Linked DNA regions of Kluyveromyces lactis. The main gene of each other region encodes a partner of the protein of the gene in region 2 in a complex. Links are inferred from orthologs where the notes say so. Each region holds a gene or a part of one and is shown on either strand. Other genes may lie near its edges. The genes, in order: TFB4, SSL2 and SSL1.

The links.
Region 1: SSL2 (region 2) and TFB4 share a complex: the UniProt entries of both Saccharomyces cerevisiae proteins name them as parts of the 7-subunit TFIIH core complex. The link is inferred for Kluyveromyces lactis from reciprocal best matches to the Saccharomyces cerevisiae genes SSL2 and TFB4.
Region 3: SSL2 (region 2) and SSL1 share a complex: the UniProt entries of both Saccharomyces cerevisiae proteins name them as parts of the 7-subunit TFIIH core complex. The link is inferred for Kluyveromyces lactis from reciprocal best matches to the Saccharomyces cerevisiae genes SSL2 and SSL1.

Annotation. Positions count from the first base shown.
Region 1 is NC_006038.1:756,048-759,121, forward strand, and holds TFB4 (TFIIH/NER complex subunit TFB4), read right to left. Parts: upstream 1,525-3,074; coding exon 511-1,524; downstream 1-510. Other genes in the region: KLLA0_B08547g (uncharacterized protein), read left to right, coding at 100-465; tRNA methylation protein TRM732, read left to right, coding at 1,970-3,074. UniProt on the Saccharomyces cerevisiae protein: Component of the general transcription and DNA repair factor IIH (TFIIH) core complex, which is involved in general and transcription-coupled nucleotide excision repair (NER) of damaged DNA and, when complexed to TFIIK, in RNA transcription by RNA polymerase II.
Region 2 is NC_006041.1:1,154,021-1,158,307, forward strand, and holds SSL2 (TFIIH/NER complex ATPase/helicase subunit SSL2), read right to left. Parts: upstream 2,801-4,287; coding exon 224-2,800; downstream 1-223. Other genes in the region: SRP40 (Srp40p), read left to right, coding at 3,326-4,287. UniProt on the Saccharomyces cerevisiae protein: ATP-dependent DNA translocase. Component of the general transcription and DNA repair factor IIH (TFIIH) core complex. When complexed to CDK-activating kinase (CAK), involved in RNA transcription by RNA polymerase II.
Region 3 is NC_006041.1:849,975-853,592, forward strand, and holds SSL1 (TFIIH/NER complex subunit SSL1), read left to right. Parts: upstream 1-1,612; coding exon 1,613-3,079; downstream 3,080-3,618. Other genes in the region: KLLA0_E09593g (uncharacterized protein), read left to right, coding at 1-1,321. UniProt on the Saccharomyces cerevisiae protein: Component of the general transcription and DNA repair factor IIH (TFIIH) core complex, which is involved in general and transcription-coupled nucleotide excision repair (NER) of damaged DNA and, when complexed to TFIIK, in RNA transcription by RNA polymerase II.

The DNA.
Region 1 (3,074 bases), on a different chromosome or scaffold from region 2:
AAATAATCAATAGTGGACAAAAAAACTTTCTTATAACGCTACAACTGGACCGAATGCACTGGAAGGATATGCACTAATGTGCTGTACTCTTAGTCATATATGAGTAAACGGAGATCATCAGAAGAGCATTGCGGGGGATATGAATTAAATGGTAATGCCGTGCTTTGTTCAGACCCACCTTGTGATCATGAATGGGTTCCTATAGAATTGTACCCTAGTCATGTCAGCCAGATGCACGAGAACGTATGTACGCAATGCTTAAGGAACTTTGCTAGTGAGTATTGGATGGAATTACATATCGAAGAATTTCATAATCCGTTCAAGAACGGTAATTACAGGCTAAGATGCCTGGAACAAGATTGTTCGATGACGTTTTCAAATTCAAACGAGAGAATCGATCATTTAAAGAGACACCATTACTATAGTGATCAGTTTGACTTTGATATTTTAAATAGTGGTTGCTGACAGTGATTATATATGTACTTTAAATAGGTATGGAAAACCCCGATGCTATTTATTACTAACATTTTTCTTCTTCGGTACACCATTGCTCAATACAGGCTTTCTTCTGAGTCTGGCGATAATCTTACTGTCAAACGGCGAGTCACAAGCAGGACATTTCTGACCTGGAGGTATCACTGAAAGCACACATAAGCAAACACTACACACAAATCCGACAGCGACCACTTTACCCGTTAGAAAACATGAAGTTCTAAAATCGACAGACCCTTGATTTGGTTTAATTATCACATTTCTCAAAGACGGATCTATAAACATGGCCGTTGATAAATATTGAATTAAACCTCTTGTGTTTTCTACATGTAAGTACACCCCACTAGTGGCATCAGTTGCTTGTTGCAAGAAAGTGCTTTCTATACCCCCACCAATCTTAACCACATCGATGGAACATTTCATTTTGGTTGCCGAGAATATACAGTTCATTATTGGGATATACTGGAATATCTCATCTTTCCCCTGGGATGTACCGCACGTTATCACAAGCAACCGACTTCTCAAGCTTGTATTCTCGTTTTCCTTCAGGATTCTGTTCACGTAAGTTAATGCACTGGACATCGCTCCACTTAAACTACTCTTCATCGAAACCTTACTCTCTTGACCTTCTAATTCTTCCTTGAACAACCTATACCATTGCTCCACCACTATCTCATCCACATTACGGAACCCTCTATACATGTCAGAACTTACCATAGACATACTAGGTTTCGAATCAGCCGATGGATACAAATATTTCATACCCTCGGAGTGTGCAGCAATGAGGCACACCTGGTTTCCTGAATTGAAAGCCAAATGCGCATTCAAAAACACTACGATGGACTTCAACGCCTCTATAAGTTGCTTCTCACCAGAACTTCCTTCCGAACCACTACCAGATTGTTGTTTCGTAAGCTGGACCCATGAATGAATGCTGGTATCAACCACAACAGTGAGAAGAGAAGGCGTATCCTCTATTTCTTGAGTCTTCGATTTGGTTCCTTGGAACACTGTATCAGCGATGGCATCCATTTTAACCGCTTCCTCTTTCAAAGAAAAGGCTATTAATAATAAAAACCTGATTTCACAAAGTTGTATTCGATCCTTTATGGTATATGAAGCGTTTTAATTTAATCTATGGGTCTAGCTTTACTCTACGATTTGATCTTCCTTTAAGATCAGCTTCAACTCTAAATGTGCCTTTCCCAAATTCATGTTACTTGAAATTTCTGGCCGCCCGAAAACATTGGCCCCAAAATGTAGCAGCTTTAACTCGAAAAAAATAATGAACAAGACATCGACACAAGCAAAGAACGAACCGCTGAGAGTCATCTTGTGTTACTGAAAGAGCTGCCATTTGTTTCCTAGTTATCCAGTGAGCAAATATTAAAGGTTACCGGTACTCAAAGCTAATCGTCTTCTGTTTATAATTTTTTTTGATATTCCAACAGGTAGTGTTTGAGAGCGTTTGCATAGCATGACTGTGGATGCTGTAAGCGAATGGAAGCACTGGCTTCTTAAGTATAAGCCAGAGGCCAGCATCACACAGCATGAATGTGATCAGTTTTTATGTTGTTTTGAAGATATTAGTGGTATTCTTGCTGATACTGGGATCAACGATAAAGAAAGAGTGCGGAGTGTTGATGTGATGAGCCTGTTAATGCTAAAGATATACCAAGTTTTAAAGAAAGGTAAGAACAGCGGTAACGACAAACCTAATGAATTTGAGATGACTGTGAAAGAAATTATGTTCAGCATTGATCAGGGGATATTTTTATTTCATTACGTTATTGATTTTTGGACTGACAATACTGTGTCCATGGAGATCCCATTGAGAAATATGTTTGAGAAGCTTTTGCAGCTAATGAACCACTTGTATGGGAGTACACTGATGGAGACGGTGCTTTATGGGTGGGTTGAAACTGTTTTATCATTACAAGAAAATATGAAAGTTCAATATTATTTGTTAGACATCTTCAGTGGTCAGATCGACCTATATGTGATTCTGCGATTGAAACCAAATTTCGTTGAGACTTGTCTCAGTTTGGTCTGGGCGGAAACTCTGTGTACACAAGTTGGAAAGTGTTTATCTAACGTGTTACTAAATTGGTATAAATACCACTTTGATGAATCTTCGATAGAACAATGGTTGTTATTATGGAAGCCTTTATGCTGCCATTATTTGAACGATGCTAAATATACGAAAAAGATTCAACTTTATGTCTTGTCAAATGTTTTCAAGCAGCTTCCAGAAAGTTTTGGCATATTCATAAGAGAACATGAAGGTTTTTCTAATACATTACTGTTATCATTGCTGAAAATCGGACAAGAGTTGGCTATAGAAGAAGAGCCTTTCCATGATGAAAAATATATCAGTCTGGAAGACGTTAGGTGTCTACTGCAACAGGATCAATATAAGCTTCCTACCTTTGAACTACTTACATATTCGAATAAAAGATCTAAACAGATACAACCATACATTTATGACATTATAAGAGAAAACATAACTATCTTTTTTGTCGATTATAATCTGCAGACAAGAAACTATTTCCACAGTTCACTAAAATCGTTCATTAATAGAG
Region 2 (4,287 bases):
TACAATATCAATACTGTTGAAATTCACTGTGCAAAAGCAATCATTTCTTTGTTTATTTTAGACAGCGGACGAAAACATCTTTTTATAGTGATTATATGTGGTATATTTAAGTATTAGGATTTTATAAAACTGATTCGTGATGCGATTTTTGGAAAGATGATTCATTTGCTGTTTAAAGTATGCCAGTTTAATACGGATGATAAATTATAAAACCCAATATTGTTCATTTATTTGCACTTCTATAGTACATTTTACGGATCAATGGATGATGATCTCTTAAGTCTTTATTCTTATTGGAACTGTATTCTAGGTATGCCATATCCTCACCACCAGCCAAACCAGCCAAAGATCCTTCGCTCTTAACAGCCTTAGATTTGTTCCTTGGTCTCTTGTTCCCACCATTCTTCCAAATGTAGCTATCGTTATCCTCACCTGCTTCAATGCCTGCAGCTTCTTCGTTTTTGAGAAGAACTTCTTGCAAAAGTTCTCTACGTTCTCTAGCAGAAGAATATGCTAGATTAGGCAAGTTTTCCATACCATGTAGATGGGTGATAACCTTGAAAGCATAACCTTGATCAACTAAAAATGCCTGTCTCTTTGTGGAGTAGTACATTTCTTGAGTATCTTTAGAAACTAGAGAATAGAAGAAGGCGTTGAACCCTTCATCGTTACGTCTCTTAGCTCTTAAAATTCTACCCAATCTTTGTGCTTCTTGACGTCTAGACCCGTAATGAGACGAAATTTGGATCAAACAAGTCGCCTCTGGCAAATCAATCGAAGTATCTCCAACCTTTGATAAGAAAATGGTATTGATTTGGTCATTATATTGAAAATTCTGCAAAATATTCATACGCTCTTGTTGTGGCGTGGAACCGTAAATGAAAGGCTTACCTAGCTTCAAAGCATATTCTTGAAGAGCGTAGACGTTATCTGAAAAGACGATAATTTTATCACCTCTCTTTTCATGATATTGAATCAAAAATTGACACGCCTGGAACTTGGTTGGATTCATAATATATAGTAGCATTCTTTTTCTCGCATTCTCTCTTAGATATTCTTGGTAAAACTCTGCAGTCATTGGACACCAAACTTCCGCACACTGCACATTAGCAATGTGACCTTTCTGTGAAAGTTCCATCCAATTAGCTTCGTAAAGTTTTGGACCAATCAAGAAATTCAAATCACTAATCTTGTCATCTTCACGCACCAAAGTTGCAGTTAAACCTAATTTTGCATGTGCGGCAATAGTGGACACAACACGTCTAAACATGGCTGCAGGTACGACATGTACTTCATCCAAAATAATGAAACCCCATTCTCTACCCGTTAAGAAATCCATAACCTTTTGAGAATCGTACGATCTATTTCTAGTGTTAGCAACCATGGAATAAGTCGAGACCACCAGACCAGATTCAGTTTGGAACATTTCTTTGTTATCTGATGTGAAGACGGCAACATTTTCAGGCTGGAGCGTACACCACTGAAGGAATTGTTGTCTCCATTGCATGACTGACACTGACGAAGTACAAAGCACGATCACAGACTTTTTGATAGTACATGCCGCTGTGATACCGACCAAAGTCTTACCAGCACCGCATGGTAACACAATAATACCACTTCTTGCACGACCGTTACCGAACATTTTGCTCAAGGATTTTTCCTGATATGGTCTGATTTGAGTTGATGGTTTCAAATCGATATCTAAATCTGGATTTCTTCGATCGTTCCTGAAATCATATTCTTCCAACACCGGATAGTCAAGTTCTTGACATCTTTTCTTCACAATTTCGACAGATGCATTGTCAATTTCGAAAGCATGAACCGCATCTATATCATCGTCTTCTTCTTCAAGTTCCTTATTGGCCCCCACGACAGCTGAAAAGACAGCTTCCACATCGTTAGGATCCACTCCCTCTGCATCTACCATCTTATTCGCCATGGTTTTCTTAACCGCAGCATCCACTGCAGCATCGGTATCGATTCTTAGATTACCAATGATTTGATCGTTTAACAACATTTGCAAGATATCAGCTTGAGAAGTTTCCACGAAATATCTATTATGCTTAATGACCAATTTCACCTTACCGTATGATACAGTTGCACTCTTAATGAAGTTGATAATCGAAGGTGCAACAGGAACCTTGGACAATCTGTCCAATACTGCTATGATATCTTCAGTTTCCAAACCAACCGAAACCGCAGCATACAAAGAGTAAGCCGTAATTCTGTACTCATGAATATGAGATGGTCTAGAAACGGGTTCTGCGATCGTCACAAGAAAATCCTGTGCTTGTTCTGCCAATGGAGAGAATGATTCTAAGATCACACGTCCATCGTTAGGCGATATCCATAAAGGCCGCGAGGCATGATCCGGCTTCAATTTTAAGTAGCTGAAATCGTTAGTCTTGAACATTCCTGAAACAACGTCAGGCTCAAAATCAGGGGGAATATCGTCCAAATGTGCATGAAGGATATCATCCTTTGCTGCTAGATTATGGTTCATTCCACTACCAGCAGTTGCAGCAGCAGCAGATCTAGAAGAAGAAGAACTTTTCTTCGATTTCCGACTCAAAAGAGGATTCACTTGAGGAGCAGGAGCGTTCGCCTGCATTAGAGATTCCTTTAACTCAGCTTCCTCTTCTTCATCTAAGACATCATCGTCGATATCTGGGGCAATATCCCCGTATTCTTCATCGTCTGTAACCAAAGAGTCATCTGAAAAAACCGTGTCCTGCACTAATTTCTCCTTTCCACCTCTACTTCTTGTGTGATATGAACGCTTCACTACCTCATCTTCCATAATGACACAATTAGTGTACAGATAGACTCCGGGGATAGACCTTAATTCCCTTGTCCGTCCTTGGACTTTGATTCTTAAACATCTAATTAAAGTTAAAGTTCTCTTAAAATCATCTTTCAGATTAATAATGTTGAGGCAAAAATGATTACCCGGACAAACAATATAACCAGAATGAGCCAAAAACCCAATATAAGTTAGAGTTGGATGACCAACTAATAACCATTGCAACCACTAGGTAGTTCCACGATTAACAATACAACAACGAGGTTGCCGAATAGACGAAAAGGCCGGTTTTGCTAGTTGTTTTTACAGTTTTAGTAGTTGTAAGACTGAAACAACCCATACACCACACCTCAGGACATCGTCACATAGTACGGCAAAAGAAACGTATTGAAAAAAAATTCGAGATTAATAGCGTTATCCAAACGAGATGAGCTTGCGATGAGGTAGGTTCAGATCTTATCCAAGAGCGATTACGATAGGATCACCAGTGGTTTGGGTGAGGAAATAGTCTAATTTTTACAGATGAGTGTTAAGAAGCAAAGTTCCAAGTCTTCAGTGCCAAAATTGACGAAGAAAGATGACAAAAAGGTAAAATCATCGTCAAGTGGTTCAGAGTCTAGTTCCAATTCCAGCGACAGCTCGAGTTCAGGTTCAGGTTCAGGTTCAGGTTCAGGTTCAGATTCGGATTCGGATTCTGGCTCAGACTCTAGTTCAAGCTCTAGCTCAGATTCAGAATCGAACTCTGATAGTAGCTCCAGTTCCAGTTCCAGTTCCAGTTCCAGTTCCAGTTCAGACTCAGACTCCAGTTCAGACTCAGATTCTAGTTCCAGCTCAGACTCTAGTTCCAGCTCAGACTCTGATTCCGACTCAGACTCTAGCTCCAGTGCCAGCTCAGAATCCGATGATGAGGACGAAAAAGACATCAAAATTAAGATAAAAGATGAAAAATCTGAGCCAGTAGCAGTGGAAGTAAAGGTGTCGAAATCGTCAAACTCGGACTCGGAATCTAGTTCTGATTCTAGCTCCGATTCAGACTCTAGCTCCGATTCAAGCTCTGACTCAGACTCCGATTCAAACTCTAGCTCTAGCTCTAGTTCAGATTCAGATTCAGACTCTAGCTCTAGCTCCAGCTCGGACTCTAGTTCGGACTCTAGTTCAGACTCAGACTCAGACTCAGACTCAGACTCAGACTCAGACTCAGATTCGTCCTCAGATTCGTCCTCCTCATCTAGCGACTCCGATAGCAGCGATAGCGAAACTGCAGTAGAAACCGAAACCAACAGCAAACGTCCTCTTGAAACTGAATCTGATTCCACTGAAAATTCCAAAGAATCATCACAAGAACCTTCAACAAAGAAACAAATGATTTCAGCTGGCGTTGATGAAGTATTGCCTGGACAAAGAAAACATTTCTCCAGAGTCGAAAGAGAGAAGATTGCATTTGAACACGAAGTCCTGACAGATAATACATACAAAGGTGCCGC
Region 3 (3,618 bases), about 300 kb from region 2:
AACCAATAAATCAGGTGCAGAAGCACCGTGGGATAATGGTGAGCCATATTACGATGATTGGTTCACACTTTGGGATACGTTCAGATGTCTTCACCCCTTGATTAATATCATATCACAAGACCATGGTGCAGAAATGGTACGTTCTTTAATTGATATCTGGGAGGTTGAAGGTTTCATGCCGGATGGCAGATCTGGTGACAGATCTGGAAGAACACAAGGGGGTAGCAACTCAGATATCATGTTGGCGGATGCTTTCATTAAGAACGTTCATCAAGGGATCGATTGGGAGAAGGGCTTCCAAGCTATGTATACCAATGCAGAAGTGGAGCCGCCTTACATTGAGGACCCTATGGCTAACGACTCGACAAACAAATTTGGGAGAGGCGCTTTAAAAGAATGGCTTGAATTGGGGTACATAACAAGAAATTACTCAAGAAGTGTCACCAGAACTATGGAGTATTCGTATAACGATTTTGCCCTTTATATCGTTGCCAAAGGTCTCGGTAAAAAAGATTTAGCAAAGACATACCTTGAAAGATCGAAAAACTGGCGTAACATTTGGAACCCAAATGCTAAAAGTGTGAATATACACTATGACTACACCGGATTCGTACAACCTAGGAATTCTGACGGTACGTTTGCTCAACATAGATATGATCCGTTTACATGCTTTGGTTGCTATTGGAGAGACGATGAATATGAAGGAAAACCCGTGGAATATGGGTGGACGGTGCCTTTTGATATGAAGACTTTATTAGAATACATTGGTTCGAAAGCAATGTTTGAAAAACGTTTAGATGATATGTATGCGTTCTGTGGCCATGAGAACGTGGTTGATATTGGCAATGAACCAAGTTTTTTGACACCTTATCTTTACGCGTACATTAACAGACAAGATAAAACGTCAGCATTAGTGGATTGGATCATAAATACAAAGTTTAAGACGGGACCGCGTGGTTTGCCAGGGAATTCTGATGCAGGAGCCATGCAAGCGTGGCTAACCTTTGCCCTTCTAGGTTTTTATCCCGTGGCTGGTACTGATATTTATTTATTAACAAGTCCGAAAGTTAATTATTTGAAACTTAAAAGCATGCCTAACGTTCCAGATATTGAAATTTTTGCACATAACTTATATTCAGAATTTGGTGTCAGAAACAACTTCATTGAGAAAGTTGTTATCAATGACAAAGAACTCGATAAGAACTGGTTTAGACATTCCGAGCTATTCGAACACGGTGGTACCATCGAATACTACATGAGTGAAAAACCATTGGACTGGGATTCAGATAAAGAGTGTCCACCACAAGAATTCAGCGTTTAAGATTCAAGTATAATGGTGTAGTTCGTTAAATAAAATCAGTGATTATTAGGTTTTACATACAACCCTCGCTATTTTGTGTTGAAACTTTTTGATCATATGATCACATGATCAAAATCATGTAAGAAAATTTAGTGAATTTATAACAAGTGAAGCAAGATTTGAAGGTTAAAGAGTAACGCTACACCAATTTGGCTGAATAGACGTAGAGCTCCAGGCATTAGTCGATTTTTTAATTGGACTACATTTGGCTGTACTCTGGTCAAATTTTATTAATCGTTTTTGATTACGATAATGCCTCCTATTATAGATAGTGAATCAGACGATGAACGGATCATTGGAATCACTAACAAGAGACATAGACAAGATGGTCAGACCAAAGTGCTGAAAAACAAAGTGAAGAAGCATGTTAGAACAAAAGAAACTGCAGATTCGGATGGTGCAGGCAATGGGAATTCTAGTGATGATGAAGAGGATGAACGAGTTCATTCACAACTATCAAAGAGAAGTCGTGATCCAAGAAAAATGAAGAAGAAAAAGAAGAAGAAGCTGTCCAACAAGAACTTACAAGGTGTCAATGGTGGTTATGCCTGGGAAGATGACATTCAAAGAAGTTGGGACCTTGTCAAAGTTGATGATGAAGGCAATATCGCTGCTATTGTGGCAAGCATAGTTGAAGCAAGAAAAAAAAGGGCAGCAGAGAAGACGGTTACTCCGTATCAAAGAGGTATTATCAGAACCCTTATCTTGGTATTGGATTGTAGCGAAGCAATGATGGAAAAAGATTTGCGACCTAATAGATATGCAATGACAGTACAATATGCTGTAGACTTTATTCATGAGTATTTTGATCAAAATCCTATTTCTCAAATTGGTGTAGTTGTTATGCGTGATGGTTTAGCTCAGCTAATATCGCAGGTCAGTGGTAACCCTCAAGAACATATCGATGCTTTAAAGATGCTTCGTAGGCAAGAACCAAAGGGGAACGCTTCTTTACAAAATGCTTTAGAGATGGCTAGAGGTCTCTTACTTCATGTTCCAGCGCATTGTACTAGAGAAGTACTCATCGTTTTCGGTGCATTATCAACTACAGATCCAGGTGATATTCATCAAACGATTGGCTCATTGGTACATGAGAATATTAGAGCAAAAGTTATTGGTCTATCTGCTCAAGTCTCCGTTTGCAAAGAGTTGTGTAAGCAGACGAATTATGGAGATAACTCATATTATGGGATTATATTGAACGATCATCATTTTAAGGAACTATTCACAAGTGCAGTGACACCGTTACCGGTGAGCAAAGTGAACAAAGGGTTCACCTTGGTTAAGATGGGATTCCCTACCAGAGTATTTGAGGACACACCATCATTTTGTGCTTGCCATTCGACTCTAGTCCATGGTGGTTACGTCTGTCCCAATTGCAAAACTAAGGTTTGCTCTCTACCGACAGTATGTCCGAGTTGTGATTTGATGTTGATACTCTCAACACATTTAGCAAGATCGTATCATCATTTGATGCCTCTTAAGACTTTCCAAGAAGTCCCAGTGTCAGATAGCTTCCCTACAGACTATTGCTTCGGCTGCCAAAAGCGATTCCCCACCTTAAGAAATAACAAAACAGGCGAACTATTAACAAGCAGCAGGTACAGATGTGAAGAGTGTGATCAAGATTTTTGTATAGATTGTGATGTATTCATTCATGAAACGTTACACAACTGCCCTGGGTGTGAGTCCAAACCAATCAATGTAAATATCAAATGAATTTAACCCGCTAATCATTTTCTCGGTAGTTCCAAGAAGAAAATATCACAAGAACGACTTTTAAACATTGACTCAAATTGTATATAACATTGAATGGTTACTAAAAAAAAGGCACTCACATCCTTTACATCTATTTACAATGTACTCCCCCTGGGTTGGCTGGATACCGCTTTCCCTACAATTGTATAAATCTCATCTCCTAATCATTATCTGCTTGTTTAGTGCATCTCAGATTGTGACAAAATAAAAAGTAACGATTATTTTCAAAATTTTTCAGCTCATCGGAGAAATTGCAAAATGAAACCTCGAATAGAAAAGGCAACAAGATACCAACCGATTTTTCAACGACCTCACAAAAAAAAAATACTGTACTGAATAAACTTCCTGTTACCATCAAGTTTGTGCTATATCTCTAGGACAGGTAGGTTCTTTCAAACTTGAGATTCACAGGGAGTTCAACCGTACGTCTCTTTACATTTGCATTGGCTTCTTACTGTTGATTTTTCCAATCACTTTAGTCTGCTGTCAATCCGGTTTAA